Linked DNA regions of Rhinolophus ferrumequinum. The protein of the gene in region 2 purifies or fractionates together with the protein of the main gene of each other region. This does not show direct contact. Links are inferred from orthologs where the notes say so. Each region holds a gene or a part of one and is shown on either strand. Other genes may lie near its edges. The genes, in order: CLP1, TSEN2 and TSEN15.

Evidence for each region.
Region 1: the proteins of TSEN2 (region 2) and CLP1 purify together in Homo sapiens (affinity purification with mass spectrometry; 3 studies listed by BioGRID and IntAct, counting the BioPlex papers as one, with this or other methods). This does not show direct contact. The link is inferred for Rhinolophus ferrumequinum from reciprocal best matches to the Homo sapiens genes TSEN2 and CLP1.
Region 3: the proteins of TSEN2 (region 2) and TSEN15 purify together in Homo sapiens (affinity purification with mass spectrometry; 4 studies listed by BioGRID and IntAct, counting the BioPlex papers as one, with this or other methods). This does not show direct contact. The link is inferred for Rhinolophus ferrumequinum from reciprocal best matches to the Homo sapiens genes TSEN2 and TSEN15.

The regions. Positions count from the first base shown.
Region 1 is NC_046294.1:11,512,530-11,522,073, forward strand, and holds CLP1 (polyribonucleotide 5'-hydroxyl-kinase Clp1), read right to left. Parts: upstream 3,954-9,544; 5' UTR 3,833-3,953; intron 3,598-3,832; exon of another isoform or gene 3,458-3,597; intron 3,379-3,457; exon of another isoform or gene 3,266-3,378; intron 2,842-3,265; 5' UTR 2,820-2,841; coding exon 2,214-2,819; intron 1,802-2,213; coding exon 1,130-1,801; 3' UTR 710-1,129; downstream 1-709. UniProt on the Homo sapiens protein: Polynucleotide kinase that can phosphorylate the 5'-hydroxyl groups of double-stranded RNA (dsRNA), single-stranded RNA (ssRNA), double-stranded DNA (dsDNA) and double-stranded DNA:RNA hybrids. dsRNA is phosphorylated more efficiently than dsDNA, and the RNA component of a DNA:RNA hybrid is phosphorylated more efficiently than the DNA component.
Region 2 is NC_046300.1:41,980,167-41,990,758, forward strand, and holds the start of TSEN2 (tRNA-splicing endonuclease subunit Sen2), read right to left. Parts: upstream 4,327-10,592; 5' UTR 4,226-4,326; intron 1-4,225.
Region 3 is NC_046305.1:15,433,897-15,444,234, forward strand, and holds the start of TSEN15 (tRNA-splicing endonuclease subunit Sen15), read left to right. Parts: upstream 1-6,155; 5' UTR 6,156-6,175; coding exon 6,176-6,301; intron 6,302-8,904; coding exon 8,905-8,986; intron 8,987-9,286; coding exon 9,287-9,422; intron 9,423-10,338. UniProt on the Homo sapiens protein: Non-catalytic subunit of the tRNA-splicing endonuclease complex, a complex responsible for identification and cleavage of the splice sites in pre-tRNA. It cleaves pre-tRNA at the 5' and 3' splice sites to release the intron.

The DNA.
Region 1 (9,544 bases), on a different chromosome or scaffold from region 2:
CCAGAAATATTTTACCCAAATTTTACACAGCTATTTAGGTCTTAACTCGAAGTGTATGCTTAGGAGAGGCCTTTCCTGATCACCCAATCTAAAGTAGCCTCTCGGTCACTGTCCCATATCACCCAATTTGAAGTCTCTGCATATAGCACTTATGTTTTTTGTGTTCTGTAAATTCCATAAGACTTTTAGTCTATCCTGTTCCCTATCTAGAATGGTTCCTAGCAAATAGTAGGTGCTCGATAAATACTTGTGGAAAGAAGGAATGAAGGGCATCAGATACTTATTCAATAATCCAGATCCAAACTAGGAACCCAGTCATTTGCAAGAGATCAGAGTATGGACTTTTCCTTGAAAGCTCAATTTACACTTTGATTTAGGGCCTGATTCCAATCAAATAGACAATAGGAAAGATAGCTGCAGCTGGGAGAAAATAAGCCATCTCTGGAAAATGATTAGATCTGAAATCTCATCCCAAGTTATCACCAGCCTCTTTGGTTTCTCATAGTAACCCTGGCTCTGGCAACAGATTTGCCATCTAGTTACTTAAGTGCAGAGGAACGGGGAACCATCATAAAAATTCACCTGTTTGGCTCATAGATGCGCTCTTGGCTTTCCTCTCTTCTAAGCATTTAGCAATAGATCATAACAATGATGGTTCTATAATTCTTAAGGGGAAAAAAACAATTTGAAAAAACTATACCAACTTCTGTGATACGGCAAAAATATTTATTAAAATAATTTTTTCCCAAGTTTGAACTTTATTGCAAGGAGGCCTTTTAACACAATCTTTCATTCTGGATAAATGAGATAAAAAGTACTATATACAAAATATAAAACAGTGATAAAAACAGTAAAAGAAATGGGATTCCCTAGGGCTTTCAAGATTTCAAAGCAGCCCCTCGGGATCAAAGAAACCAATTATATTCCCATGGTTTTCCTTTTGGTTCAAAATTAGAAGAGGTGTGTTACCACCACCCAAGAGGTGGGTTTTTAGAGGTAGAACATAAACTTTCTACTAGTCACTATTTACTTGTCAGCCTGTTCTCAACAGATTCTCATACCTCAGCCCACCTGCCTTTGGTGATGGCCAGATCTCCATGCCCCAGGCAGCAAGGCTTCCTGTTGATCTCTATTTAAGATCCATGAACCGGATATCCATGATGAGAAGGAAGTTCTTAGGCAGTGGGCGGGGGGCTGGAGAGAGAACAGTAAACATCTGATGCTCCAGGTCCACACTGGTCACCACGATGAAGCCCGCCACACTGGTCTCGGAAAGGTTCTCCTCTGTGCCCTCAGCAGTGCTAACACTCAGGAGGTGGTGCACCATGTCTCGGCCAGGGGTGACAGGTACTAGCTTGAGCTGATTGTCCTCCTGGGACATGCCCAAAGGCAAACAGGAGTCTGGGATTGTGGGTGCCCCAACTTTGTAGATTTTCACATCTGAAAACTTGACATTGAAGGCATGGGGATAGAAACAGCCCCGGAATCCATAGAAATACTCACGGATACGCTCATCCCTACATTCCCGCCGGAAGTCCTTAGAGCGCTCAACCACACCTCCTGATTTAGGGAGCAGCACAGTGCGTACAAAGTGAGGCAAGTCCCGTTTCAGTTCATTGTACAGTCGTTCTTGATCCAGAACCACAACCACATCCACCTCAAAGGCTGAGGCTGCATGCACCAGGGCCTGGTAACCAGAGCCCTTCACCCAGCCACAGGTGTTAATGACACAGCCACTCACAGAGGCCCTTCGGTTCACTTCACATCTTTGGTTGAACACATCTGCTAAACGAGATGTAATCTGCAGAAGAAAGGATCAAGGTGAGGGGGAAAAAACCGCAAAAAAGAACAAATCCATAGCTATTTTGTCCCTCTTTAGAAAAAGTGGTGTTAGGTACAAGAAAAACAACATTTTATAATGGCTGTGGTTTTGACCCCCACAAGATGGATTTAATGTTTATGTTGTTTCTTCTGTCTCCTGTTTCATGTTCCACATGGGAATTTATGGAAATTTAATAATTACTTAAGAATAGGTCCACAGAAACATTTACAATCAGAGGTTGACTTATATCTGAAACTGTCTTTTCTGAAATCATGTGGCAATACCAGCTAAGGGAGCAAAGCAATGGCCGTAGACAGTTTTAACTAGCAAACTTCTGCACAGCTTCCTACCTCAATACCCACCCTTCCCTCCACCCGACCTTGGCTCTGACCTTATTATAAAGCTTGATGTTGGTGCCAGGAGTTGTGGAGCCAAAATGATACACCAGAGGGGCCTGGATAGAAAATCCCTCTTCAACATCTGCAGGCCGCTCAATGTAGAGAGCTCCCATGGTGCCAGGGATAGAAACAGAGCCTTGGCCCACATCCAGCTCCACGTAAGTGGGGCGGCGGCCCAAACGCACTGCGTAGTTGAGCAGCAAACGGCACACGGTGGACTTGCCCACATCAGTGGGGCCCACGACCATCACCCGGGGGCCTCGCTCCTCTTCCTTCTCCGCCTGCCTCCTCATCTGCTCCAAGGCTGTGTGCGTGTTGAGGTAAAGCAACATAGGGGTGTCCTTGGAGACATAGGCCACCTCAGTGCGGCCACTCAGCTGGAGAGAACAACCATGCCAAGTGAAAACAGCCACCTTGGCACCAGCATCAAAGGTGAATTTCTTGTTTCGGGTCAGCTCTGTGCCAAAGATTTCTGCCATGCCAGCCAGCAGCTCCAACTGAACTGACTGAGATGCCTCCACCTCAAAGCGAAGTTCTGTTTCTCGCTCTAGTTCAAATTTAGTTGCTGGCTTCTTGTCATCATTGGCCTCCTCTCCCATCTTTTCTGTGTAGCTGTTGTGCCTACAATACAAAGTAAATTTCAGATCTAAACAAGTTAGAACTCTGTTCAGAATCCTCCAGTGGATGTTACTCCTTATCTTGCTTTATTTTTCTCCTTATCGCTCATCACCATCTGTCTCACATATTTTATTGTCTGTCTATCCTCACTAGGGTTGGGCATTTTTGTTTTGCTGCTGCATCTCTAGTAACTAGAGTAGGACTTTAAAACCCATAGGCACCTCTATAAATACACCAAGTGAATAAATGACTCAGACATAATTAGAAAACTGTATCTACAGATTGACAGAACACTTGGTTACATTATCTCATCATTCCCTTCACTCTACTGGGATACTCCAGACTTGAGAAAGCAAGGGATGCCGACTTCCCAACCCTTAATCAACAAGAAAGGGCATCTGCAATCCGTATGCAAAGAAGAGAATACCTGGTGTGAACTTAGAAAACAGCATTAAGGCCCTGCTCAGCAACGACTAGTAGTGTGATCCTTTTCCTCAGCTGTCAACCGGAGGCACTTAAACTTCCTCACACAAAAGTGTTCTGGGGATTAACAGGGATTATTGAAGGGAAAAAAAACACTTGGTAAGCTAGAAAACGCCAAGGAATAATTAAGACTTACAGTGGTACCTCGCTTTGCTAACATAATCCGTTCCGGAAGACCGTTCGAGTTCTGAAACGTTCGAAAACAGAGGCGCGGTATCCCCATAGAAAGTAATACAAAATGGATTAATCCGTTCCAGACCTTTAAGATCAACCCCTAAAACTACAAATTTAGCATGAATTTTACTATCTAATGATACTATAGATCCATAAAATTTACAGCTTTTATAAACCAAAATATTCGTCAACAGAGACATTCAAAAACCGAGGTACCAGTGTATTTCTCATACAAGACTGCAGCTCTAGGTCCGGCATTTGTCCCAGCCTCCCCAGACACAAAATCTGCCCAGGCCCCAAGGAAGCGACAGTAGCTTTCCTGAACTTATTATCTCACCTGCACAGCCACGAGCCCCAAATGGAGAAGCCCGCCCACACAGGACCTAAGCTCGCTGGGACCCACGCCGGAAACAAGGGTGGTTCTGCACTTGCGCAGTGGAGGAGACACGGTGGCGCGATGCCCCTTGGGATATATAGTTGTACAGAAACAGCCCCAGCTTATGCAGCCGCTCGGCCTTCTGGGAGTTGTAGTTAAAGGATTGTTTTGATAATGACGCCAAAGTGGGAGGGGCTGCGGCCAACGTTGTTCGCAAAGTGGGCGGGACGCGGGTAGGAGTGCCGGTTACGCCCCCGCGCGGGGCGGGGACCGGTTGAGGAGCCGTGGGTCGCGTGGGCGCGGCCGGTGTGGTTTCTTGCCCTGTGTTCCCGCTCACCTGCTACCCAGGAAGGGGAACGGAGGGGGCCTCACTATTAATGTCCCACGATAGCCTGCTTGCCTGGACCACAAGCCAGGAAGTGACGAAATTGGCAAACCCCTCTTGGACACGAAGAAACCTAGGTGTAGGGAAAGTGGAGGAAAACAGCCTGTCAGAGGCCCACCTGGGCTGTCATCCCCTACCTGACTCAGTGCTTGGCACCTAGAGGGCATTGAAAACAACTTTTTTGAATAAAAATCCAAGAATTTCTTCCTGTTACTCTTTACCCAGTCATTACCCAACCACCTCTCTTCTTTTGAGTGGGGAGTTTGGTTGGGTACTCTTTGCCCTCCCTAAATCCCTGACAGTTACACAAGGTCAACAGGTTGGGCTACATCTATAAGCCACTTCTCCCCAGCCTGGGCTTTGGAATCTTGTATTCTTTGCTATGCGACTTGCTCACTTTGTGACTGGGCGAATCATAGCCTTAAACTCTCTGAGATCCAGTTTCTTGTCTGTAAAATGGGGATGATAACAGTACCCGACCTCTTAATGTCGTTTTGATGATTGAATGGGATGATACACAAAGTACTAATGCCTGTACTAAAGCACGATGTACAAAGTTCTAAAGCACGATGCCTGTAACACAGAAAACATTTGATGTCAGCTTTTAAGTTTTTATTATAGTCTGAGGAAGCGGGGCTATAATAATGCCATCCATTTGTTACAGTGGTTTCCATTTTTCAAAGCCCTTTCAGGTTACCTTTCTTCACAGTCACCCTGTAAAGTAAGTTTTATTATCTCCAATTTCAGATGAGGGGGAGATGAAGATAGGTGAAGGGACTTGACCAAGCTAGGACTCAAACCCAGGATTTTGGAGTCTGAGTCCAGTTAATATAATAACAGCAAACACATAGTCTTAGATGCCAGGTGCTGTCCTAGGGCTTTACAGGTGTAAATTCATTTAATCCTCAGAAGAGCCCTGTGAAGTACATACTACCATTGTCATCCCTGCCTTATAGATGAGTACTTTTTTGAGTCCAGCTCACATGGTTAATCTGGACTGAAAGCCCAGAAAGATTTTCTGGTTTGCCTTTGTCCCACTGACCCTACCTTAGCACTCACTTTCTAAGAGTGCCATCCTCACTTCTCACAGTTTTTTCTTTGATAGCTTGTTTTAAATATTTCATGCATTCACCATGCGTGCATTAACTCTCCAATGAACTATTAGATATTCCCTAATCTTTCACCATTCTTCAAAAATTCAATTCCAGTCTTCCATTCGCAAGTTTTCTCCCCGAGTGAGCTCATCTTCTTCTCCTGTTTCCGAGCAGTCTATTTATTTCCCAGGTCTTTTTCTTTGCCTCCACACCCTCTCCCCTGAGGCAATTTCTTCCAATTATCTGAAGGTCATCTTTATTTGGATATTGTATAGCTATCTCAAACTGAATTTAGGGAAAAGAAACACCCCCACCCCCGCTTAGACTTTTCTCCATTTTGCTTTCTAAACACAGAAAGAGTCAGGGCACATTTAATGCATCTGTGCTTGCCTACACACTCTCTTTTCTCTTTCACCAAGCACTCCTGTCATCTCCACCCCACCCCCAAATAACACTGTCCTCATATCTTTTCCAACCTCCTCTCCAGCTAAACTACCTTGATCATTTTCTTCCCAAGTTAATTTAAACTGATATTCTTTTTGCTTCCAAACTTTTAATCCTTGTCCTAAAACTACTCACCTTCCGTTTTCCCACTTCCCACTGTTTTCCTCAAGAATTGTTCCGCATATTCCTCCTGTGTTTATATTTCCTTTCTTATCTGTTGCCCAGTCAAGATCACGTCCCTCTTCTTTCTTTACCGAGTTTTCCCTCTCAATTTCAAAGTTCTGGTACTATCACCTACATTGTGTTTTCAGAATTTACCTTAAACCCCAGAATCTTCTGATTAAATATTTAGAATTCCTTTATTCACACCCAGCTAGCAATGCCTCCCATTACATTTCCTTACCTTACTTTTTTTTAAATCTATATTTAACAAGGCTTTATGTAAATCTTGCATCAGAAGATGCCATTAGTTATTGAGGATGGAAGGCAAAGAGGTTATATACTAAAAGTATTTTTTGAGGGACTATCTTGTGACTCATTAAAATAAAAGTTCAGGTTAATTTTTTGTTTGAAGTAATTGGTTAGGAAGGAATACAGGAAATCCACAGAAAAAGATAGCAACCAGAATGATATCAGCCAGATTTTGAATATTCCTTCACTCTGAATCCTACCTTACGTTTGAAAGAAAAACTAACCACCCACAAGCAGTCCTTTCTGTAAGCCCCCATCTTTGTCACACTTCATTTCCTGAATGTTAGCCTCTGTTAGAAATCAGGGAGTTTCTCTTAGAGGATGTGTTCTGTGTCCACATACTTCAGTGACATGCACAGGGCAGCACTTCATAAGAAATATATTTTTTAAACTTTTATTTATTTTAAGTGTCTTTTTTTCCAGGACCCATCAACTCCAAGTCAAGTAGTTGTTTCAGTTTAGTTGTGGAGGGCGCAGCTCACAGTGGCCCATGTGGGGAGTGAAGCAGCAACCTTGTTGTTAAGAGCACCACACTCTAAACTACTGAGCCATCCGGCCGCCCCCATAAGAAATATTCTGAGTCAAAAGAAATATAACTGGAAGCTGATAGAAAGATAGCACTGAAAGACGTGAGTTCTTCAAACGACACAAATTTGGCATGTGTCTCTTGAGCTACCATAACTTAATAATAAACCCTCTCTCTGGGTTTCAGGGTATCAAGTTGAGAACATACTTTTGAAATAACAGCGACGGCTGTTTACCAGGTGCCTATCAGGTGCCAGGCACGTTTTAGCTATTTACATGTCATCTCACTTTGCTGCATGTCTCTGTGAGGGAAATATTGTTAGCCTCATTTAGCAGAAGAGGAAACCTGGGCACAGAGAGGATCAGGAACTTGCCCAGTGGTTCCTGGTGAGTATATTGGCAGAGATGGGATTTTATCTCAGGTCTCTTTAAAACCAAAGCCAGACACTGGGATCACGCCTGAAGATGCAATTCAACTGCTGTTTTGGGAGCATCACCTCTGCACTTAGGCATTGCAGTCCTGGGGTGAACAGAGGAACTGCCCCCGGGACCTGCCTCAGAAAGTTTACAACCCGGTAGAGAACCTTATGTAATGCGGGTGTCTCCGTTCGTGAAGCACAAGCAATTTGGCGATAGTTGATAAGAGGTTCCCACACGTGAGATGTCGCATTTGCTCTATGACTCCTTGGTGGGGTAGGCTATTACGCTGAGGCTTTGAGGTTTGCAAATGCCTGGTACAAGCTTGGGGGCACAGTTTGCCATATGTGACAACTAGTATGTCTTTCTTTTCTCTGCATCAGGGCTGCTGTCCATCTGAGCCGAAATGAGGAATATATCATTTTGCATGTGTGCAGGCGCCACTCTGCAACCATCTCTCAGCGTCACTTGCCTTGCCACCTCCTTTCCTCCAGCCCTGCCACCCGTGCTCCATCCTTGCCCAGCTCTGTCCTTCCCCCAGGTTCTCCTTGACCACACTGCCTTCCTCCTCGGTAACCAGCCTGTCCTCTTTCTCGTCCCCTCCTGGTCCTGTCCCTCTGCTCCCAACCCTTGCCCCACTCCCTCATCCCCGCCCCTCGATTCCTGTCCCCCCTCCCTCCCGCCCCGCCTCCTGTGTCTCCCAGCCCTGCTCTGACGTGGGAGGTGAGGGGGTGGGGGGCGGATGACTCACAGTGTTATGATGCAGTCCCACAACCAGCTACATTCACCCACAGACCGCGGTGCAGACGGGAGGCAACCTCTGGCCCCCCAGCAGCTGGCCAGCTTTGCAGCCCGTCCTGAGCCCCTAGTCCCCTCCCTGCCCCCATCCCCTTCGCAATTGAAGGAGCGGAAAGAGAAGAGAGAAGAGTGAGCAGAGAGATTGAGAAAAAGAGAGATAGACGGAGATCTCTGGAGCAGACCTCAAGGTGAGGGGGCAGCCCTTCTCCAAATGAATTTTTTTTTCCCTTTGCAAATTTCCTCCTCCTGCTGCGTGTTGCTTTCTCCCCTTTGCAAAAGCATTATTCATCCACCCTTTGTCCTCCCTTCCCCCTCCCTGCTGCCTCCGCTCCGCTCTCAGAGCCTCCATCCCTCTCCAAGCGCTGATGGTTCCCGCACTTATTTCCTGGCAACTTCAGCTGCAGCATTAGGCATCACTGTTTATTGTTTTGCTGCTGGTGTGGACCCCCCAAAGCCCGCCCAGGGAGCTGGCTGTGCTGCTAATGATTTTGGACCATACCATGCTGAGAATGCCAGCCCAGAGGGGGCCGAAGCCTCAGAGCAGATGAGAAAATCCATTGTGAGCAGGTGGCCTCCTCCCTTTTTTTCCCCTCCCGAGAGGCATGGGATTCGAACCTGGTTCCTCCAGCCTCCGCCTCTGGGCCTCTGCTGTCGGGGATGGTTCCCCGGCACCCCCACCCCAGTCCTCCCTCTCCCCTGCCTCCCACGATCCATCCCCGGCTCACTTGGGGAAACATCCTCTCCCCAGCACTCAGCTAGCTTGCCTTTGTTTTTTCCCCAGTCATTTGCCCAATGTGCTTTTCCCTGCGATCTGAGATGGGGAAGAAATGACCCCTACTCCCCCTCCTCTGAGTATTCTCTATCCTTCTGTGCAGCCTCTCCTTGCTTGATGGGGAAGCATTAGAGAAAGGGGGCGGGAGGCGTGACGGAGGCTGGGGAAGGAGGTAGAGCAGGGACCTGGCTGGCCCCCTCCCCGGGCCCTTGAAGGTGTGCTAGGTGGAGCGGCAGAGGGGTACTTGCAGGCAAAGTTGGAGGCCGACTAGTGAAGTGGACGCTGACCAGTGTGCTGGTGAGGAGGGCCCATTTCCTGCGGCCAGAGCCCAATGTCACCCTGAACTCAGCCCAAGGTGTCTTCCTGGGGCCCAGCCACAGGGAGAGGACCTGAAACTGAAGACGGTCTCTGATGGGGGTTTAGTGGAGAGACTGCCTGATGACCCCTGGAAAAACGAACAGCCGGGCCACTAGCAGCCACCACAGAGGACAGGATGAGAGCCCGTTTGCCCGACTACCCAGAGCCACGTTGCCTGTTCAGTTTCGTGGCCTAGCGTTGCCAGAACACCCAGCTGGCACCTCTGAACCAGACTTGGGCTATGCCACCCACAGTGGGGCCTGAAGGGCCCATGAAGAAGGCAGCTCACCTGCTTATCAGAGCCCACAGAGGACACCTCCCTTCTTATCCTCTGACTCCAGCACCCTCATCCACTTGGGGGTGGAGTTTGGACAAGTATCAACATCTTTCTCAAGATTCGTAATCAGAAC
Region 2 (10,592 bases):
GGGTAAAAATAGACTCTGTCTTATAGTTAAGACCCATAAATTGCTTAGAAGAGTACCTAGCACACACCGAGTGCTATGCATGTGTTTGCTGTGGCTATTATGAAGGGGTTCATACTACCAACACGGTTATACAGATGAGGAAACAGATTCAGGTTTGGGAGATTTTGTAAAAGTCTCCAGGGAGTAGGGGCACTGGACTCGCCCAGGTCTGCTGAATGTCAGAGTTACTGAGAACTGTGGGACTGCTTACTGTGCACCCAGCACTACAAGAGAGTCAAGGAAGCTGAAGTCAGTACCTCTCCCTTCCAGGCTTTACACTCAGCCTGAGGAGACAAAACAAGCCTCTAACACACAACAGGCTGCCATTCAATAATGGCTAGAGGAAGGAAGTAAAGTTGAGTGTATTGTGCGATAAAGACATAGAGTCACAGTTGATGCATTTAACTTAGGAAAAACTCAACCGTACATACGCAAGGGGAAAAAATGCAAACAGTGCAAACGGACGGATGCCCTGGAATGAGACAGGAGATTTGGATCTGCTCCTGCTTCACTGCCGGGTCTGGACTCGATTTAAACGGAGAGCAGAATCTGGTGCTTGGAGATCCCATGGAGCCATAGCACACACACCTTTAGCCTATGCGGCTCCAAGCCCTCAAAAGGAGAAAAGTAGGACGAACTATTGAGGTGCCTCCGGCACTCAATAGCAGCATCCCATTGGGCGATGGATGTAATCAGGCCTGACACAGCCATGAAGGGGGCCGAAGCTGAGGAAGGAAGGGCAGTGGTTTTAAGGGTTCATGACCATTCAAAAGAAATGAAAAGCTTTGTCCAATGTGTGGTACCTTTCCCCACCCTCTCAAAAAAGCTGAGGAGTTAAATGAGGATAAAGACAAACATAGACCAAGGAAGAGTTAGAGAGACTGACACGTCAGTTACAGAGATAAGTACGAAAAAGAAGGGTCAGCAAGTTGGAACCTTCATAGAATTGCCGAAGTATTCCAAGCAGCAAAACGCTAGGATAATTTAATTTCTAAGATCCCTCAGTGGAATCACATACTGAGCATGACTGTACACATTTTATACACACACACACATTGCTGTACAGCATTCATAACAAAACCATGTATACCGCAATTAAGGTATTTTTCTTCCAAGAACATTTTAACTAGATTTTCACTTGCTGCCTTATTCCTCGATCCAAGCCAACTATTGCATTTAATATTCAACTGAAGAAACCGCAATTTATTCTAAAACTCAAACAATGCTATTTTGGCTATTTTGAGGCAGGATGTTGATCTCTAATGAGGATCTTTCTAGAGATTTACAGGAATGATTCAGACTTTTATGAGATTTTCACTTTTATCACTTAACCTCTGGTTAGTATTTGACTTGTATATATTACCTTTGGAATTTTTAAAGAGAAAATGTTTAAAAGGGCTAACTTCTAGAACTTCCAATTAAATTCTCTCAAACAAGCAAAAATGAAAAGGTATATTTTAATCCTTGTTTGTTTAGTGTTTTTGCTTTCAGATTGCTGTTACTCTAAAACAAGAAAGAATGAACTATGATACTTGATGGCAAGAACTCTGTATTCCAACAGAGTGTGTGATAGAGGGGTTCCTGCCACAAAACACTGTTTTTCACAAAACCCTCAAAATCTGGGATCTAGTGTCACTTCTGCCCAAGTGACAGAATGTACATCAAAAACGTGGCTCATAGGAGGCCTTCCATATATATGGAAGCTGCCATTACTATCATTTGACCTTCACAACCCACTGAAGCTCTCTGAGCCCAGTTTCTTCATCTTCAATTTGAACAGGACTGGAAAACAGTCTGGAAGTTATTCAGATGTCAACACAGAGTAACCATATGATCCAGCAATTCCATTCCTAGGTATAAATACAAGAAAACTGAAAACATGTTCGTGCAAAAATATGTATATGAATGTTTACAGCAGTATTATTCATAATAGCTAAAAAGAGGAAACAACCCAAATTTCCATCAACAGATGAATGGATCAACAAAATGTGCTATATCCATATAATAGAATATTATCAGCAATAATAAAAAAAATGAAGTACTGATACATGCTACAATGTGCATGCATCTTAAAAGCATTATGTTAAGTGAAAGAAGCCAGTCACAAAAGACCACATATTGTAGACCATTAATATGAAATGTCCAAAATAGGCAAATCCATAGAGACACAAAGTAGGTTAGTGACTTCCAGTGCTGGGGAAGGGAGAAATGGGGAGTGACTGAATAGGTATGGGGTTTATTTTCAGGGTGATAAAAAATGTTTAAAATTAGACTGCAGTGATGGTGATGGTTGCATAACTCTGTGACTATACTAAAATCACTGACTTGTCCATTTTACAAGGGTGAATTTTATGGTATGTGAATGATCTCTCCATAAAGCTGTATCTAAAAGAGTCAACAGAACAAACCAGATGATCTCTAGCTTCATAGTTTTGTGGAAGAGTTGTCTTGTGCTGAACTTAGAAGGCAAAGCAGGGGAGAAAGGACTGAATTACTACTGTCCAAAACTGCCACAGGCATTTAAGAAACATTTCTTTAGTGCCATGATAGGAGAACAGCATGATGCCAGATGTGGAATGTAAGATTAGAAGAGGGTAACCATTATGGGTAGGTACAGCATTCGAAGTAGGCACTGGCTGTGGTGTATGCTACACAGGTGGTACTATCCTCATTTCACAGACAAGGAAACGGAGGCTTAGAGAGGGCAGGTCATTTGCCCAAAGCCCCATTGTGAGGGAAGGTAAGAGGTTAGTAAGGTAGGGAGAGAAGGCATGGTAAGAAAACTGGCCTAAAAGACCTGTATGTCTGAAGCACAGAGATATATAACAAGGAAGGACTACATTAGTTGTCAGGGGGTTTGGGATGTGAAGGCTGGTTTAAGACTTAAGAGCCAGTGCAGCTTATGACAACTGAAAAGAGATCAAGAAAATTAACCCGGGGTGGCATATAAGAATGGCTCTCAAGCTTGGCTGTCCTTAGACTCACCTGGGTAAATTTTAAAACTCCTACTGTCCATGCCTTACCTGCAAATACATCAGAAATTCTGGGGTGGGACCCAGATGATTTCAACATGTAACCAAAGTTGCCAACCACTGGTGAGAGGATGGCCTATTCATACACACTTAATCCCAATAACCCCCTGAGGTAAGGACGTTGCTATTCCCATTGTACAGATGAGGAAAAGGACTCAGAGGGGCTGAGGGATATGCACCTGTAAGAGGTGGTTCCTTTTCCTTTCCCAAACGACAACAGCAGTGTTCATTAAGTAATTCACTTTTCCATCGAAACCACGGCTTGCTCTTTATTCTTCCCTTGAGCAGATAACACCTTTTAGGCGCTCAGTTGTTTATTCCAAACAAAACAAAGCAAAACACCGAGCGGGGAAGGTAAGCTACATTTAGTTTTCCAGTTCCCTGGGTCAGCCTTGCCAAACAAGCCTGGTTAATACCTACCTACCATCTAGCAAGTTCACCTTTTCCCAATTAAAAAATGTTTGAAACGCCAACTGCTTACCTCCTGGGCTAGGGGAGGCGGAGATAAAAGGGACAAGGCAAACAGTCCTCCCTCGGGGGGATCTTTCAAGTTAGAACCCGAGACTAAGACATAAACAAACGACAAACCTTTGAAGGGTGTTGTGAGGATTAAAAGGGTAATTGTGCAAAGGTGCCCAGTACAGGGCCTACTACCACGTGGAAGTGTTAGCCAGACGGTGGCTGCCACTGCAATAAATGATGGCACACAAGCCAAAAAGAGTTAAGGGCTCAACAAATCCGTAACTGTCTGAACTTATCCCCTCCACCCCGCAGCAACCCCACTAGCGGCTGAGGTCTTCTCGCGTAGAGGCGGTGTTGGATGTACCTCGACGTCCCCAGCCCTGGACATGGCGTCTATGTTTCCAGAAAGAAGGAAGAAAGAGAAGTACGAAGGACTACAGATGCACGGAGAAGGGGAAGAGTGGTTAATTCAGGCAGAACTGGGAAGCCGAGCTCCCCGTCCCGGCCCAGTCTAGTCCGGCTGTGCAACCCGGAGAAAGTCTCTAGGCCCTTGTCACTGTCGCCCCGGAGGGCTTCCGGAGAAGGCTACGTCTCCTCCTGGGACTGACAGAACCTCGCCCCTGCCCCGTGCGCTGGGACCACAGCGCTCCACGCCGGGATACACCGCCCGCTCCCAAGTCCAAGAATCTTACCTCCTTCGGCCCCACGCACTCGCCGTTACCCTGACAACGCCGGCCAGGGGGGCGGACACCGCTGCCGTCAAGCAGTGCGGCCGCAAAGCCGGACGTAATGCGCAGCCGCAGAGCCCGAGGGACAGCCCGCCAAGTCTTTACGGAGCGCGCCTGCGTACAGTTCTCTTCTCCGTATGGCTCGACCTTCGCATATTAAAGCGAAGGCAACATGTCCTCTTTCCTGTCCTCCCGGGTATTATACGGAGGTCCCCTTGCACAGATGCTGTTTTCGTTTAATCCTGACAACAATCCCTCACCACCCATTTTACAGATGAGGTTCGAAGTTATTCGTTATTCGAGATTTAACCCAGAGTCCTCGCCCCTGGGGAGATGGGACTCTTGAGCGACCAGTCAGTCTATTACACGACCCCGGCCCTGAGGAAATGAGGCTGAAGTCAGCCCTGACGCTGGTTTCAGCTTACTCAATGCATACGTATAAGCTGCAGCATGCAGGGCGTAAAGAAGCACCCCTTCGCACACACCTGACCGAAAACCACTGTGCACTGGCTGCCCTGTGCAGTAAAAAGAACAGACCAGGAGTCAGATCTGCATTTGTGATCTCACTGACAGTGTGATCTTGAGTGAGTGACAATCTTTCTGAGCCTCATTTCCCTCTAGTGAAAAATGGGTTGCCAGGATTATGAAGGATGAGCAAAAGTGTGTTGGGAAATGTAAAAGTTTCTCCTGACTTGGTTATTTTAAAGGTGGCCTGGTAGGAAGTCCAATACTATATATCTGCCCAAATATGAACTCCAGGGTCCTCAGGGCGCATACCACACATGCTAGGCAGTTGGGGAAGGTGGGTAACAGGAAAGGGTGGGGCTAGATGTGATGGGCTTTGAAATCTGGACCTTTCCCAATTTTCTCTTGTTTCCAGGCTTTGGAACTCACTGTTGCCTCTGCCCGGAACATTCTTCCCTACTCTCTTTGCAGCAGTAATTCCTGGTCACCATTTAGGTCTCAGTTCAGATAGCTCTTCCTCTAGGAGGTTTCCTTTTGCTTCCCTAGACCACCTTGGATGACTTTCCTCTGTGTCCCCTGTTTCCTGGTCCTCCTTAACTGGTCTATGAACTCTTGGTAGAAAGAGCTCAAGACACGATGGGCCTTAAACGGCTCAACTGAAGAGTTCAGACTTCAGATAAGCCAAAATCAGAATAGTTTTCTGTTAGTGTTGCGAAAAAGGGAGAACTTCAGCAGGATTCATAGAAGAGTGGTATCAGAATGGACTGGGCAGGGAACAGAGAGTTGGGCGAGATATATTGTACCAGAACGTGCCAATTTAGGAAATACTGGTTTTAGAATTAGAGTTTTAACAATGAAAGGGAACTCAGAGGTTATCCAGTACAACTTCATATTTTAACTGATAAGAAAAAAGGTTCAGAGGCATTGTGAGTTGTCATAGGAAGCTGAGCAGTCTGAGGGGGATGCTGAGACTAGAGCCAGTCTCCTGAACCTCCTCCTGCTCCACAGCCAGGGGCTTGGGATTCCCCCATAATGGAATCTTAGGTAGCTGTCATCTGGAGCCTTGTCTCCACAGAGGGTCCCCACAGAGTGGAAGTTACTGAATAAAATATTCTTCCCTCAAGACTTTCTCCTGAATGTGTATGTTAAACCTTTTGTTACGGTCACTTTCAAACATACATAAAATAGAGTTATCTAATAAATCATCACTTCCACATCTTCAGCCTTTAGTATCTTATTTCTTTTACACGCTCCATATACACACTTTTATCCCACTCCTGGAGTATTTTAAAGTGACACCAGACATCATATAATTTCACTCAGAATATTTCAGTATGTACCTCTAATTTTTAAATTTTATTATATATATACCTATATTTGATTCTCATTATTCCAGTAATTCTATAGTGTCCCTGCGAACACTGAATTAGTGAATATACTGAACCATTGCTCCCAGCTGAAATACAGGGTTAGGTTCTTGCCAGTCTCTGGACACAACATTTTCATCCACCGATCAATATATAAGCTTGTTTTATGTGTGTTTCTGTTTAAAGACACTTTATTTAATATCTACTATTGATTCACTAACATTGAACTCATGGCCAACAGCACTATAACTCACATCTGAATGAAGCTCATCTAACACATGTATTTATTTTCTCTGTAAGACACATCACAGCCTTTTTGGCTAAGGAACCCTACACAGCACTTCAGCACTCTGCTTAGGGTCCATTTTAAACAGCGAAATCACCAACAGAAAGTGCAAAAATGAGAAAAATATAGCACTAAAGAGATTGAAAAAAGCACACTTGTTTAGGGTATGAGAGCTGAAAACAAGAAAGTATATGTCTGTTGACTCCAGTTGAGAGCGTGCATATTGGAAGATACAAATTTTTCTTCGCTGTATGCATGTGTACGTCTACAAATGACCAAGCTCTGTGAGTATTGATTTTGGCATTACAAGTAAAATTTAGCTAGTAGGTGAATTTGCAAGTGCAGAATCCACCAATAGTGAGGATGAACTGATATATATATATATATATATATATATATATATATACACATATATATATATATCCCTAATATCATTAGCACATCTAACAAAATGAACAACAATAGCGTTTATCTGTGATATGTCACACGGAAACTTCATGTACTATTTGGGACATACTTATACTAAAAACAAAATTGTTTATCTGGAATTCAAGTTCAACTGGGTATCCTGTGTTTTATCTGACCACCCTAAGGACAATTTATTTGGCGTTAATATGCGCCGACCACTTTGCATCCTATCTTATTTCATTCTCACCACAGCCCTGTAAGATGGTGTCCTCATCTCTATTTCACAGTTGGGGTTCCTTCCCTCACCCAAGTTCTCAGAGCGAGGAAGTAGTGGAGGCCAGATGAGGATCCAGATCCGGGAGACAATGGGGCTTGCATTTATTTTAACCCATCAGGCTAGATATGGGAGGGTAGTGCATTGATAAAACACAGCTTTAAATGTGGCAATACAAAAATGACCGACAGCAAGTGTTGGTGGGAAGTCACAGAAGACCGAGATGGGTTGAAGGACCCGGAGGCTTCCTGGAAGAGGTGGCCTTTAAGCTGAGCCTGGAAGGAGATTTAGCCTGGGGAGAGTGGAGAGGAGAATGGAGATGGGGTCTGCCGCACAGGACTGGTCCACGTGCCAGGCAGGTGTGGGCCTGAAGGTTCCAGAGCGGGGGAGGAGCTGGGCCTGGCGGGGACAGGAGGTCGAAGCTGCCGATAAGGTCCGATAGGCAGGGCGGAGCCCGATTGTACCGGCGCTCAAATTCCAGGCTTGGCCTTTGGACTTCACCCCGTAGACAATGGGGAGCCACTGGCGTTTCTGAGCAGGGCAGGGCGGCCCCAGCTGTCACACTATTGTTTTTCCCAGACAGTGCCGAACCCTGCAGTGTTGCAGCAAGTCCACTAGATGGAGATATTTTAGCAAATTTAAACCACCCAGCTTCTCGCGGACACTGCTTTCCGGCGAGGAAAACAAACACAGGGTCCTCGCAAACCGTGCGCGTGTTTATTCGCAGCATCCGCAACAGAAAATGCAAGGGCCGTGAAACCAAAATCAAATCAAGAACACAGTCCAGTTTCACCCTGCCTGTGAGATAGAACCTCAGATAATTTCACAACTGAAAGAGAGAAAGGGTCAGGGTGAGCAGGAAAGGGCAGACAGTTTTAACAAGTGCTCTCTCTGCTTATATTATCTAGCTTTTAAGTCTCACGACAGCCGTTCAAGGCAGGTGCTATTACCCCATTTTACAGGTGAGGAAACTGAGATACGGAGGGGTACATTTGCTCTATTATTTACCAAGCTGACACCAGGCGAGGCAGGGGAAATAGTTGATACGATGTGGTAAGAGGTTGTCTGGGCAAGCCGCCAAGGCATTGCTTTGCTGGGCCCTTGTGCAAAGCGTTGGGCATTGCCTTTAAATCCTACTTTGGTTGCTAGAAAAACCTGTAGCCTGGATGATGAGAGCTGAACTCCTGCTATACGCACAATTCCAGGTGCTTTTTAGAAAGTCTCAATTCTCTCAAAACCCAGTGAGTTAGGGATTATCATGCACCCATTTTACAGGTAAGAAAACAGATTCAGAGAGATGAAATGATTTTCCCAAGGTCACACAGGGAGTAAGCACCAGAGGGGGAATTGGATCACAGGTATGTCTACTTCTGCCCTGTGACTAACAATCAAGCACATCTGACTTCTGGGTAAATTTGCTAGAGAAACTTGGGCATAGATGTTGGAAGAGACACACACACAACATTTTCTTTTTCTTTATTAAAGCCTGGTGATTTGTAATTTTAAAAAAAGGAACAACCTAAATGACCGTCCCTAGAGAAATGGACATATAAAGTGCGGTTTAAAAGGTTCATAGAATGCAATACTGTGCATCTTAAAAGGAATGAACTAGCTCTTACATACTCATACACAACAACATGGATAGATTTAAAAAACAATGTTTGGTGATAAAGGCAAGATGCAGAACAATATGAGTCCTCTGATGCCATTTGTGTAAATTAAAATACACACAAAACAATATAAAATACTAAATGTATCTATAGGTAAGCTAAACTAAAAATAGCAGGAAGGGTGAACACCAAATTCATTAGCTATCTGTGGGAGTTGGGTAGGAAATAAGAGGACTTTAGCTCTACGTTTAATTTCTTAAAAAAAAAACTAAAAGCAAATAATAGGAGTGGGAATATAGATGATAAGTTACTTGTTGTATTTCTTTAACTGTTTTAATGTTTGCACAGAAAGATGCTTTGGGCAAACAAATAAATACAAAACTAGAAAACTACAAGTTGCCAGTACTCTGGGATGGCCTGAGAGGAAACGGGGAGAAGGTCATCAGAGGAAGTGAGACAGGTTCTGGCACTGAGACGCACAGTCCTAGACTCTGTTAGGGGAATGTGGCTGATGGGGTCCAACTCCTGGCATCCTACAAAAGGTCCCACCACCTGTGAATGTCCTTCCCACCTGGGAGAAGTGAGCGCCAGGTGAGGCTGTGGGAACCCCACAAGCAGGACAGAGAGGAACAGGAGGAGGTGCAGGGGCCCTGGGGAAGATATGCCTCCGCTATGGGAGAGAGATGGCCGGAAGTGGGCACACCCTCTGGCTTCTCTCCCTCCCTCGTTCCCTCCCTTTCCTTTCGTCATTTTCTCTGAATTCAGGGTCATATAAGAACATTTAATGGGTGTCTTTGAGGGGACACACCCACTTTCCAGCACCAGGTACTCCAACAGGAAATTAAAGGTAATTCTCACTTTGCCCATCTCCCGGGGCTGAGGTGACCAGCATGTAAAGTCACGAACACCAAGGTTCTTTGCAAACTATCAATCACTAAAAAGAAATAGAGCAAAATAAAATCTTATTGCTTTTTCTCTTTTCCCCTCTTCCTTTACATTTGTCATATTACACAAAATAATATGGGATAGATATAGAGCCTAGCACTTTCCTTGCATTGGCTCATTTTACCACTCATTTATTGCTCATTCCAGCTCTATTAGTAACGACTTTTCTTATCCCCATTTTGAAGGTGAGGAAAGTGAGTCAGAGAAGTTAGTTATTTACCCAAGGTAACCCAGCTAAGAAGTGACAGAGGTAGCTTTAAACCCAGCTACCTGTAGGGCCGCTGTGCTGCATTCATACAGTATGTTTTATGGTCTCATATCTTACTTATCCTTTTGTGTTTTGTTTCTCTCTCTCTCCTAGAATTCTTCTTTGTCCCAAGTTGCTTTTATCTTGTATATGATCCCCTGCAGGTCCCCACCTCTGAGCTCAGAATCATCATTTCCTGGGTGGCTGAAGAACTCTGGTTTGCTCACAGGAGACAGGGGAGAACAGGCCCAACAGGGCCCAAACCTGGCTTTCCTGCTTGCCTGGCTACGTTCACCTCAGATGTCAAAAGGCCTGAATTCCAGGCAAACCAGGAATAATGCCCCAGTCATCAAATTTGAAACCAAAATTCAGCAAAGACATGTATTTGCTGCCAGAAAGCAAATAGCTTTTTCTTTTCTTTCTCGTTTTTTTTCGCCCAAACAAAACATCCTCTTATGAAATATGTCCAATTTGCAATATTTACTTTCCCTTTATTTAATAACAGGAAAGGGTTTGCTGGACTTTTGTTGATTTTTGCATTTCTTATTAAAATTCTTAAGGGGGTTTTGGGGGAACTTAATCAGCAAAAAAGGAGGAGGAAAAAAATCTCATCTGCATTCCACAGGCCTTATTAATGGAGGAAACTTGCTGTTTGTTTAAGAGCATTTTCTGATGGGAGAGGCAATCATCACGTGTTCCAGAGCCTTCCTCTGACTCTTTTTCTTGACT
Region 3 (10,338 bases), on a different chromosome or scaffold from region 2:
ATACTCTGCTCTACTCCCCAGAGAGAAGCACAAGACTGAATTTTGTAGTAATCAGTGTCTTAATTTTATGTAGAACTTTACATTCTGTGATGGTAAATTTATGTGTCAACTTAGTCAGGCTTGGGTACCCAAACTTTAGATCAAATCAGTCTAGCTGTTGCTGTGAGGTATTTTTTGGATGCAATTAACATTTAAATCAGTAGACTTTGAGTAAAACAGATTATCTTTCAGAATGTGGTGGGCCTCGTTCAATCAGTTGAAGGCCTTCAGAGCCAAGACTGAGATTTCCTCGAGAAGGAAAGAATTCTGCCTCCAAACTGCCTTCTGACTCAAGACTGAATCATTAAGTCTTCCCTGAGTCTCCAGCCTGCCCTGCATATTTTGGATTTGGCAGCCCTACACTTGCATGAGCCAATTCCTTAAAACAAATCGATCTTTCTGTCTCGCCTTCTTCTCGCTATCTCCCTACCCCTACCCCACACCCCCCACACACCTCTGCACATGTGCACATCCTATTGGTTCTGTTTCTCTGGATAACCCTGACTGGTATGCCTCCTAAATATGCCTCCAATAGGCATAGTGTTGCCTCTATTAGAATTTTTCTCACATACCATGCAGTTTGCCTACTTAAAGTATGCAATTCAATAGCTTGTATTATATTTACGGAGTTATGCGACATCACCACGGTTAATTCTAGAACATTTTCATCGCCCCAAAAAAGAAATCCCATATTCATTAGCAGTCGATCCCCATTCTCTCCCAACCCTCGCCCTAGGAAACCACTAACCTTTTCTGTCTCTATTGATTTGCCTATTGTAGACATTTCACATAAAAGGAATTACGCAATATGTGGTGATTTGTGGCTGTCTTTTATCCCTTAGCATAATGTGTTCAAGGTTTACCCATGGTGTAGCATGTATCTGTACTTTCTTTTTATTACTGAATAATACTCTATTATATGGACATACCACATTCTATTTATGCATTCAGCAACTGATGGACATTTGGGTTGTTGCTACTTTTGCTCTATTATGAATAGTGCTGCTGTGAGCATCCATGTGCAAGCTGTATTTGAAATTTATGTAAATTTAATCATATTTTATATATTCTTCTGTGACTAATATTTTGCACTGTGCATTAGGTTTTTTGAGATTCATCGAAGTTGTTGATTGAAGCTGTGGCTCATTATTTTCACATAGTAATACATTGTATGAATGTACAACAATGGATTTATCTATTCTACTATTAATAGATATTTGGCTTGTCTTTGTTTTTTTCTGTTACAACCAATACTTTCATAAATACTCTTGTATATGTCTCCTGATCCAAAGGAGATAAATTTTTTTTTTAACCATAACCATCAATTAGAAACACATTTGGTATCATGGTATGCTATAAATATGTAACAAACAAAAATTTCATGAGGCAATACTTAGTAACAGTTATTCTAACTATATGCAACACACACTTATATTTCCTATTCTATTTTAAAATTCATTTTTAAAAACTGGCCCTAATGCATTCATATTTACTTTACAAGCACTAGTGGATCCTTATTGTCCGTTTGAAAAATACTGCTCTAGGCTATGTACCTGGGAGCAGGTTTTGCTGGATCATAGGATTTGTGCATCTGCTCTACTTTTCAGCCAACTCTTGAGGTTTTGTTGCCAATTTCATGGGTATGTTATACTATCATCTTGTCTTAATTTACATTTTCTCACTCTAACAATGTAGATGAGCACCAATTTTATTTGCTGGCCATTTATGTCTTTTTTTTCCCCCTGTTTATTCCCATTTTCCCCCTAGAGAGTGTTTTATTTCCTAATTGATTTTTAGGAGTTATGTTTATATTCTGGATGTGAATCATGTCTTTCAATTATGGGTTACAGATGCCTTCTCCAAGTCTATAGCTTTTTGTCCTCCACGATCTTTGTGTCAAAAATTCTTAATTGAAATATAGTCAAATTTATCAAACTTTTTTTTCACATGGTTGGTGCTTCTTGTGTCTTATTTAAGAAATTCTTCTCTATTTTAGGGTCATAAAATATTCTTATATTTTCTCCTAAAATCTTACATGTTTTGTGTTTCATTTTAAGCCTTTAATCTATCTGGAATTGATTTTGTTTATGGTGCAATTAGGGATCCAAGTTCTTTTTATACAAACATACGTATGTATATATATGCAAAATACATTGCCTCAACTCCTCCCTGCAATGCATACATCATTTCTGCCCAAATTTGTATGCCTGTATTCGGTTCCATCAGTTTACTTATCTATCCCTGTACCGATATCACATACTGTCAATTATAACATTTATAATAAGGTCCATCGGTTTGTTCATCAGAAGAATCTTGGTTATTTTTGGCCCTTCGTGCCCACATTTCAGAATCAGCTTATCAGGTATTAGGAAAGTCCCCGTAGGGATTGTGATTAGAATTGCTAGAATTTATAGATCAATTTGGAGGAAATTGCCATCTTTACAATATTGAATTTTTTTCTTCAGAAGCACAGTATGTCTTCCATTTAGGTAAGGTCTTCTCTCATGATCTTGGGTAACATTTATAATGTTCTCCATTAAGAGCTTGCTTATCTTTACTAGGTACCTTATTTTTGTTGTTGTTGTTTTTTTTTGCCCCAAATATAAGCCGTATTTTAAAATTTTAAATATATTATATCCTGATTTTGTAAAGGGGGAATTTAGATTGCACTGTTAAATTAATGAGAAATTGGAGAGAACATATTTTTGAATTACTCTAAATTATTTTCTGAATGATAAAAAACCCTCATATATGCTCATTCATATGAATAGTAAAATATCATAGCATTCTAAATATTTTACCCAAAGTGTAAACATCTCACGTACTCTCCTTGAGACACAAAGAATGGGAAATTCTGTGCTTTATGTACAAAAGAAGGAACAAAATATATATGAACATTCTTACGAGCAATGCGTTAAAGCTGATCCAGAATGCTAGCCTAAATTTTTCAGCTTGAGATCATTGTCTTATACAATACTGTGTAAAAAGTTTTTCTTCTAAAAATTCACCTCACAACTCAAAGTGTGTTTTTCCTCTTGAGATTCTAACTGAATTAATATGTCTCGGCCTAGACATTACAGATATTTTTGTGGGAATAATATGGTCTGGCTCACATATCAAGATGGGAAATCAGTAGAGCAAGGGCCAAATTACATTGAACTTGATCACATCCAGTATACTCAGGGGGCATTTTATTTGTTGTTACTTACCTAGCTTTTTTTCCAAACCACTTTGCTTCTCTAATATAGTGAACTACTTAAGTATGTGTAAAACGAGAAATCCTTCACTCTATCAAGAGCTGAAACTCAAACCTGTTCTCTATGGATTTCAGTCTACATTGCCACAATAGTCATTTGGATTCTAATCCTTTAAAAACTAGGTTGTTTTAAGTGTTCTCAAATCCTTTGTTTCTTTTTTCTTAGCCATACCCAATTACCAAGGTCTATTTATAAAATTTCATGGCTTAATACAAAAGCCAAGAGATACTCCATTTTCATCTTTTTAAAATAGACAATGACATTACAATTCATAAGCACTTAATATTCGTGCTTAAACGTATCTTGCTTTTTGTAAGCAATAGATCATCATCTGTTTGCCAGAGGGTACCATTACCTGTTGTCTTTTCAGTTTACAGGTCTTTCCGCTTCTTTCTGGGATTCCCTATCACCCTCCCTCGGTTTTTTTCTTAAACTCAAGTTTAAACTGAAAATCTTCCCCTGAAGGTAGTTGAGGATTGTTCACATCGTACCTAATCCATTGGATTTCCTTACTGATTTATAAAATTTACCCTCTACTCATATTAGGAACAAAATGCTCTTAATGCTACTATAAATACCATCATCTAAATGGATTGGGAGGTCAAAGAGAAAGATTTATTTGCTTCCAGTGACTTGAATTAATGTCAGTGTTCAGTGCTTTAAGGAGCCTATTAATTTCAGTGCTATTTGCTTCTTTAGAGCTTAGCAGGGGCTTTCTGGAGACAAATGTTAATGACTTGATTCAAACGCAATACATTCTAGCACAATTTATAGATCTTCATGTGTGGTTTTACATCACATTCAGGAATAGAGGCACTTCTCCCTGTGTGTAATACGCGTATATTCCATTTTTTTGATGCATTCAAACTTTTTATCTGGCTTTCAACAGTTTGACTTCAGCATTGATTTTGTTGTATTTATTTTACTTGGTATTCATTTAGCATTTTGTACCTGCAAATTTCTGTCCTTCATCCAATTTGGGGAAATATTTTATTCAACGTTTTTTCCTGCTTCATTCTCTTTCTTTTCTCAGCTGGGTGTTCTATTTGTAAGTATGTTGTTTGATATCATGTTGTGGGTCTCTGAGGCTCTGTTCATTTTTTAAAAATCATGTTTCTTTGTTTTTCATCTTGGATGATTTCTTTTGCTCTACCTTCAAGTTCACTTTTTCCCCCTCTGCAATTTGGCTGTTAAATCTACCCAGTGAGATTTTTTTTTCTGAAATTTTAATTTTCAGGTGCAGGATTTCCATTTGATTCTTTTCTTCTGCTGAGATTTTCTATTTGACTCGTGAGATTTTCATTCACTGAAAACATGTTTTATTTTGCTTCGTGGAGGATAGTTTTCATGGTTACCTTCAAATTCTTTTCTGTCAGTTTCAACATCTGATTCATCTCAGGATTGGGCTCTAGAAAATGTAATCCAAATGTGATTTTCCTGTGTCAGTAATTTTGATTCATGTCTTGGTCATTTTGAATGATGAGTTGTGGAGGTTTGGGGTCTATTATTTTTCCATGATGAGTGTTATTTCCTTTATATTAGTAGGTAATTTTCTTGGCTGGATTATTTGCAAACTCTGTTTTTTAGGGACAGCTCTGGTCTCAGTTCAGATCCTTTGTTGTCAAATGAACTGCTGTAATTCTGTTTCGAGTGGTTCAGGACCTGTCGGAGATGTGAGCCAACAGAGTTTGGGAAATCCCCTCTCTGGAGCCTTCCCTTCTGCGATTTCCTAATGTCTTAAGCGTTCAGAGTTTCCTGGCTTCACTTTTCTGGTTCCCCAGATAAGAAAAATGGAGAGGTTTTCCATATGCACCCCTGCTGCCGCTGAGCCTGCCTCCTGGACTGTACCGAGTCTCAAGCTAAACGCCAAGGAAAGGAAAATTTTCTTGTATAGTTCTTATCTGTCTCCCAAGCAAGCTGCCCTTCCTACCAGTGAGCCTGCTTCTGTTTGCATTCAGTATATTCTGGTAGTTGCTTTTTGTATAACGTCCAAGTTTTACATTATAAATGTTTTCTACGGGGGGATAGTCCAGTAGGGTCTTAGTCATATTTGGAAGCAGAAGTTCTTTCTCTGCCTGTGACTTTGAATCTTGCCTTGCCAAATGCAATAGCCTCCTAACCAGTCCCTCCTTCTACCTTTGCCTCCTAAGGTCTATTCTCAACATATCAGCCAGAGATACCATTAAAACCTAACAGGAATTTCCAATGTTCTCTCCATGTCACTCATAGTAAATCCAAAAATGCTTACAATATCCTACTCTGCCTATCTGAAACTCCTCAACCTTGGTTTCCTGGTCCCATGTTTACGCTAGTTTGCATCCTACTTTTCTGACCACTCATTCAACTATTCCTATTTCCTCTTGCTCCTCTAATCCTGAAAGGTGGGTCCACCCCAAAATTACAGTTCTCAGCAGTCTGGTCTTTCTTCTTTTCACTTTCATCTACAGAGATCTCCTCCACTTCCACACTTTAAGCTTACATGACAGGACACTGAATGAGACTTTCCCTGTTCTCAGGAATTGGAGACCAGGACCCGATGCTGAACGCAAAGAGGCCATAAGGATTCTCTACTTTCTCAATAGAGCTGCAAACAGCACTGATGTAAGGAAGAGTTAAGGGCTTCTGGGCTCAGGAGAGTGAACCTTCTTCACTCGCGTATCTGCCCGGATTGGAATACACGCACCGCGAAACTAGAGTGCGTTTGTGCACGTTCTCGCTACTGGTGTCAGAAGGCGGGGCTGATCTCCCTTTGCGGCCAGCATGGGAGTCCTCCCGGGCGGAGGCAGCCGGCCGCAGGGAGGCGGAACCCAGACGCGCGCATCCCTGCTTCTGGCCGGGCGCGGGGCGCGGTGCACCACGGGCGGGCGCCACCGGTCGGCATGGAGGAGCGCGGCGATGCCGAGCCGACCCCGGGTTGCAGCGGTCTGGGCCCGGGCGGCCCTCGCAGCGGCGGCGGCGCCCACTCCTGGGCCCCCGAGGACGCCTGGATAGGCACCCACCCAAAGGTCAGGAAGCGCGAGAGGAGCGGGGCGTCGGTTCAGGCCGCTACCCCCGGCGGACCCCCGGGCTGCACGCTACCCTCCACTCCTGCGGGGCCGGGTCGCTGAGTGTGCGCGCGACCCTCACGGAAGGGGACCCGAAAGCACCCTGCCAGCCGCAGGCGGTATTGGTTTTGCGTGTTGAAATGAGTTGAACTGTTGCTCAGACACGACCCCCTCCCCACCTCCCCCCCCCCCCACCTCCCCCCCCCCCCACCCCCCCCTCCCCCCCACCTCCCCCTCCCCCCCACCTCCCCCTCCCCCCCACCTCCCCCTCCCCCCCACCTCCCCCTCCCCCCCACCTCCCCCTCCCCCCCACCTCCCCCTCCCCCCCACCTCCCCCTCCCCCCCACACACACACTTCGCTCGCTGTTCTTATCCGCAGGGAAAGACAAACCCAGCCCCTCGCAAGCCAGAGGCCGACAGCAGCCACACCACTAATATCTGAGTTGTTGCCGTCTAGGGCTGGTTCTGGGGATGGGCTCATTTACTCCCCACAGCAACCACGCAAAAACAGTTTGTGGGCCACGGATAAGATCTAAGAGACTGTAATGATGAAGGTGTAGGCACTTGGCCTCGGGCCCACACAGTGCGTCTGGATTTTGCTGAAGTGCAGCTTCCTAAGTTTTCGAATTTCTTGGAAAGTTAGGTGCCTCCCCAAAGCAAGAACTACTCATCTTGTGGGTGTATTTTTCTCTAGTAGCAGTAAGGGAGGGAAAGAGAATTTCTTGCTTGCTTCTGTTGGCGCAAATTGGTGCCTTGTACCAGTAATGTGCCAAGCAATGAATGGACGATGAATGGCGGCGGTGGGGGTTTTGTAGGAATCTCAGGGACTGGTCTGGTAATTTTAGTAGAATTGCAGCCTCCTGCTGGAGAGCAATGTTCATAAGGGATCACCTAAGAACAGTCAAGAAAAGGAAAATTTTGAGGATACCAGCCTGAGAAGTTAACCCCTTTTCATTTTCTCCTGCTTAATTTTTTCCAGAACTCTGTCCCTTTATTCCCCCTCAAGGTGAGAAAAACACACAGGAACATGGAGAGGTTATGCAGTGCCAGAAAAAGAAAAACCATAAGGTGGAGAGGCAGCACAGTGGTTAGGAGTATGAACTCAAAGTCACGTTGCCTGAGTTTGAATCCCGGTTCTGTCACCAGCTTTATGATTGGGGGCAAGTTGTTTAATCTCATTGTTTCCTCATGTGTAAAATTGGAGTAATAACTTACCTCACAGGGTTATTACAGGATTATATCAGTTAAAGTGTGTAGAGCAATCGACAACATAGTAAGCTCTGTGTAAGTATTTAATAAGTAAAACACCCGCAACAAGTTTTAAAAACCTCATCTAGATTTGGTGGTGCTGTCAGTGTTTATAATTGCAGATTTTTTTCCCTTTGAAGTTAATGGCTATATAAGCCCTGACCATCAGATCTTCCCTTTTGATTTTCTTCCTGAAGGATCTAATTGATTAATAAAAAAGAAAGAAAAGAAAATACATTGGGTCCTTGATTTTTCCAGTTCTGCATTTTTAATATTCGATTTGAAAATAACGTAGTCTACCCAGTAATATGGCATCAGCTGTATCACCCTTAAACACCACTTTCATTATATTATTCTCACGCTTAGAAATCCTCCATGTTTCCTTATGGAAAAAAGTCAGAGTTTTAGCTTAACCGTCAAGGCCTTGCAACCTAGTTCCCAATTACGTTTTCAGTGCTTGTTTTCAAGCACATGTGAAGTTGGAGGAAAACGAACCACACCCCTGTACCTGTATACTTGCGATGAAGCGATGACGCCGGTAGGAGAATGTGACATCAGATATGTAGCCAAGAGGGTCTACTGATCCCTCACCTCTGCATTAGCCCCGCTTACTCATCTAGCCACTGCCTAGGTGGACAATCTCAGGTATCCCCTGAAGCAGCAGTAGCAGCTTTCTTGGTCCTTTCTTTAAAATCCAGCAACTAAAGAACTCCCTACTCTTAAGTGGGAAGAGGTGGGGAAAGAGGCCAGGAGTGGTATTCTAACAGAGTTTTCTCCACATGCAAATAAGAGACCAGGGAAATAGAAGCTTCCACTGACATGCCGCAACAAAAATCTTATTAAAAAATGTCTCTACTCCTGGCAGGTAGGTTTCTTTATAGGCCTTTGAATATGTGTGGCTTATTCTCATCTTTGTGTGATTACTTACACTGTTACTCTACCTTCTCAATTTACTCAAATCGTATGTGTCCTCCAGGGCTCAATTGCATCCCACCTCTGCCATAAAACATTCACCAATTAAGCCATCTGAATGGAGCATCTCTGACCCGTTGTGTCACGTTTTTGTAATTCCACTCACTTGGCTTTTAATTACTTACTGTCATTGTTATTTGCCTAACAAGTATGCAATGTGTTTATCCAATAATTGGAAGTTTTTTAGATGCAGGGATCAGATCTTAAATTGCCTTGTAACTCCCACTCTACCTAGAAAAGAGTTTTATACATTAGATATATTTAATAAATAGTTGTTGATTGAGTGAAAGAAAATATTAAGAGATTCATCCTTCTCTGTTTAACAATTACCTTTTGATTTTCAGTATTTAGAAATGATGGAATTAGACGTAGGAGATGCCACCCAAGTTTATATAGCATTCTTGGTTTACCTGGACCTCATGGAGAGTAAGTTACTTGTTTATATTGTTTCATTATTGGGTCTGTGGTGAAGAGTTGGGGAGTTAAGTTGGAATATTGCATTGCTGACATTATAATAACCATCATATATGCATTTACTGTTAATTTTGTCAATTTAGTAATTTCTTCATTTACATTGGAAATTACCGGGTAGCAGAAAATACTGAAAAATAAAGAGAAGAGAGTGTTATGAGTGGTATTTTCTCAGCTGAGTATTAGGTAGAAGTTTAGAATTTTGATTTTTGATTTTTGATAAACACTACTTTCCATTCAATGATGCTCTTTCAGGTAAAAGCTGGCATGAAGTAAACTGTGTGGGATTACCAGATCTCCAGCTCATCTGCCTTGTTGGTACCGAGATAGAAGGAGAAGGGTTACAGACTGTGGTGCCTACACCCATCAGTGCTTCCCTCAGCCATAACAGGTGGGCAGTGATTTTGGTCTTTGGTTAACAGGTTAGTTCATCACATCGTACACCTTCAGCTTATGCAGTGTTATACGTCAGTCATGTCTCAATGAAAAAAAATGAAAGCATGGTGGAATGTGAGTGGATGAGAATGATAATATATTACGGGGAATATTAATTTTCTGTTAAGAAATAACATGACAACTTTGATACTTCATTGTTAGAAATGAATTGTTTTCCACGTACTGCACAACCCATCTGAGCACAGCAGTTTTGCTATCCTACACTATGCAGCTTAGCTGTTTGATTAGAGTACTTTTTAAAAAAATGTTCTTTATTCCTTAAAAACTTTAAATAGCATTTTTATTACTAGAGAATCTGGGTGGTATACAAGCCCGAGAACCAGAGGATTTGGTGATTTGCTGGAGGTGCAATTTCATGTTATTTACAAAGGGCATATAGCATAAAAGGCATTACAGCTATCCCCTGTCTTGAAGTCCCAAGTTTGTAAAACTGGACCAAACCCTGTCATTTACATAGTTAACTACAACTTGGTTATAAAATATTTCTCGAGTGATGACAATAAGTAATCTCACTTATCCTTTAAAATCACTTCAGGAGCTATCTTGACTATTGAGTGGCAGAGAGGCCTATATTAATATATTTGTATGGCTTATTCTTTCTGTTGTTTATTTTATGATGTAAATGGATTTGCTGATTCCTTAAAAGGTAACAATTTTAGATAAGATTTAACATTATATCTGAGTGAATTTCTAAGACTCCTTACACAGTTTTTATATCCATTTCCCACTTATTTTCCCAGGCTTTGAACCTGGTGATTTTATGTACAGTTTCTGGTAATAGCGCAGTCAGATTCCATTACAACATGAATGTGTGTTAGAATGACAGTGAGTGAATGCAGTACTCTGAGCAG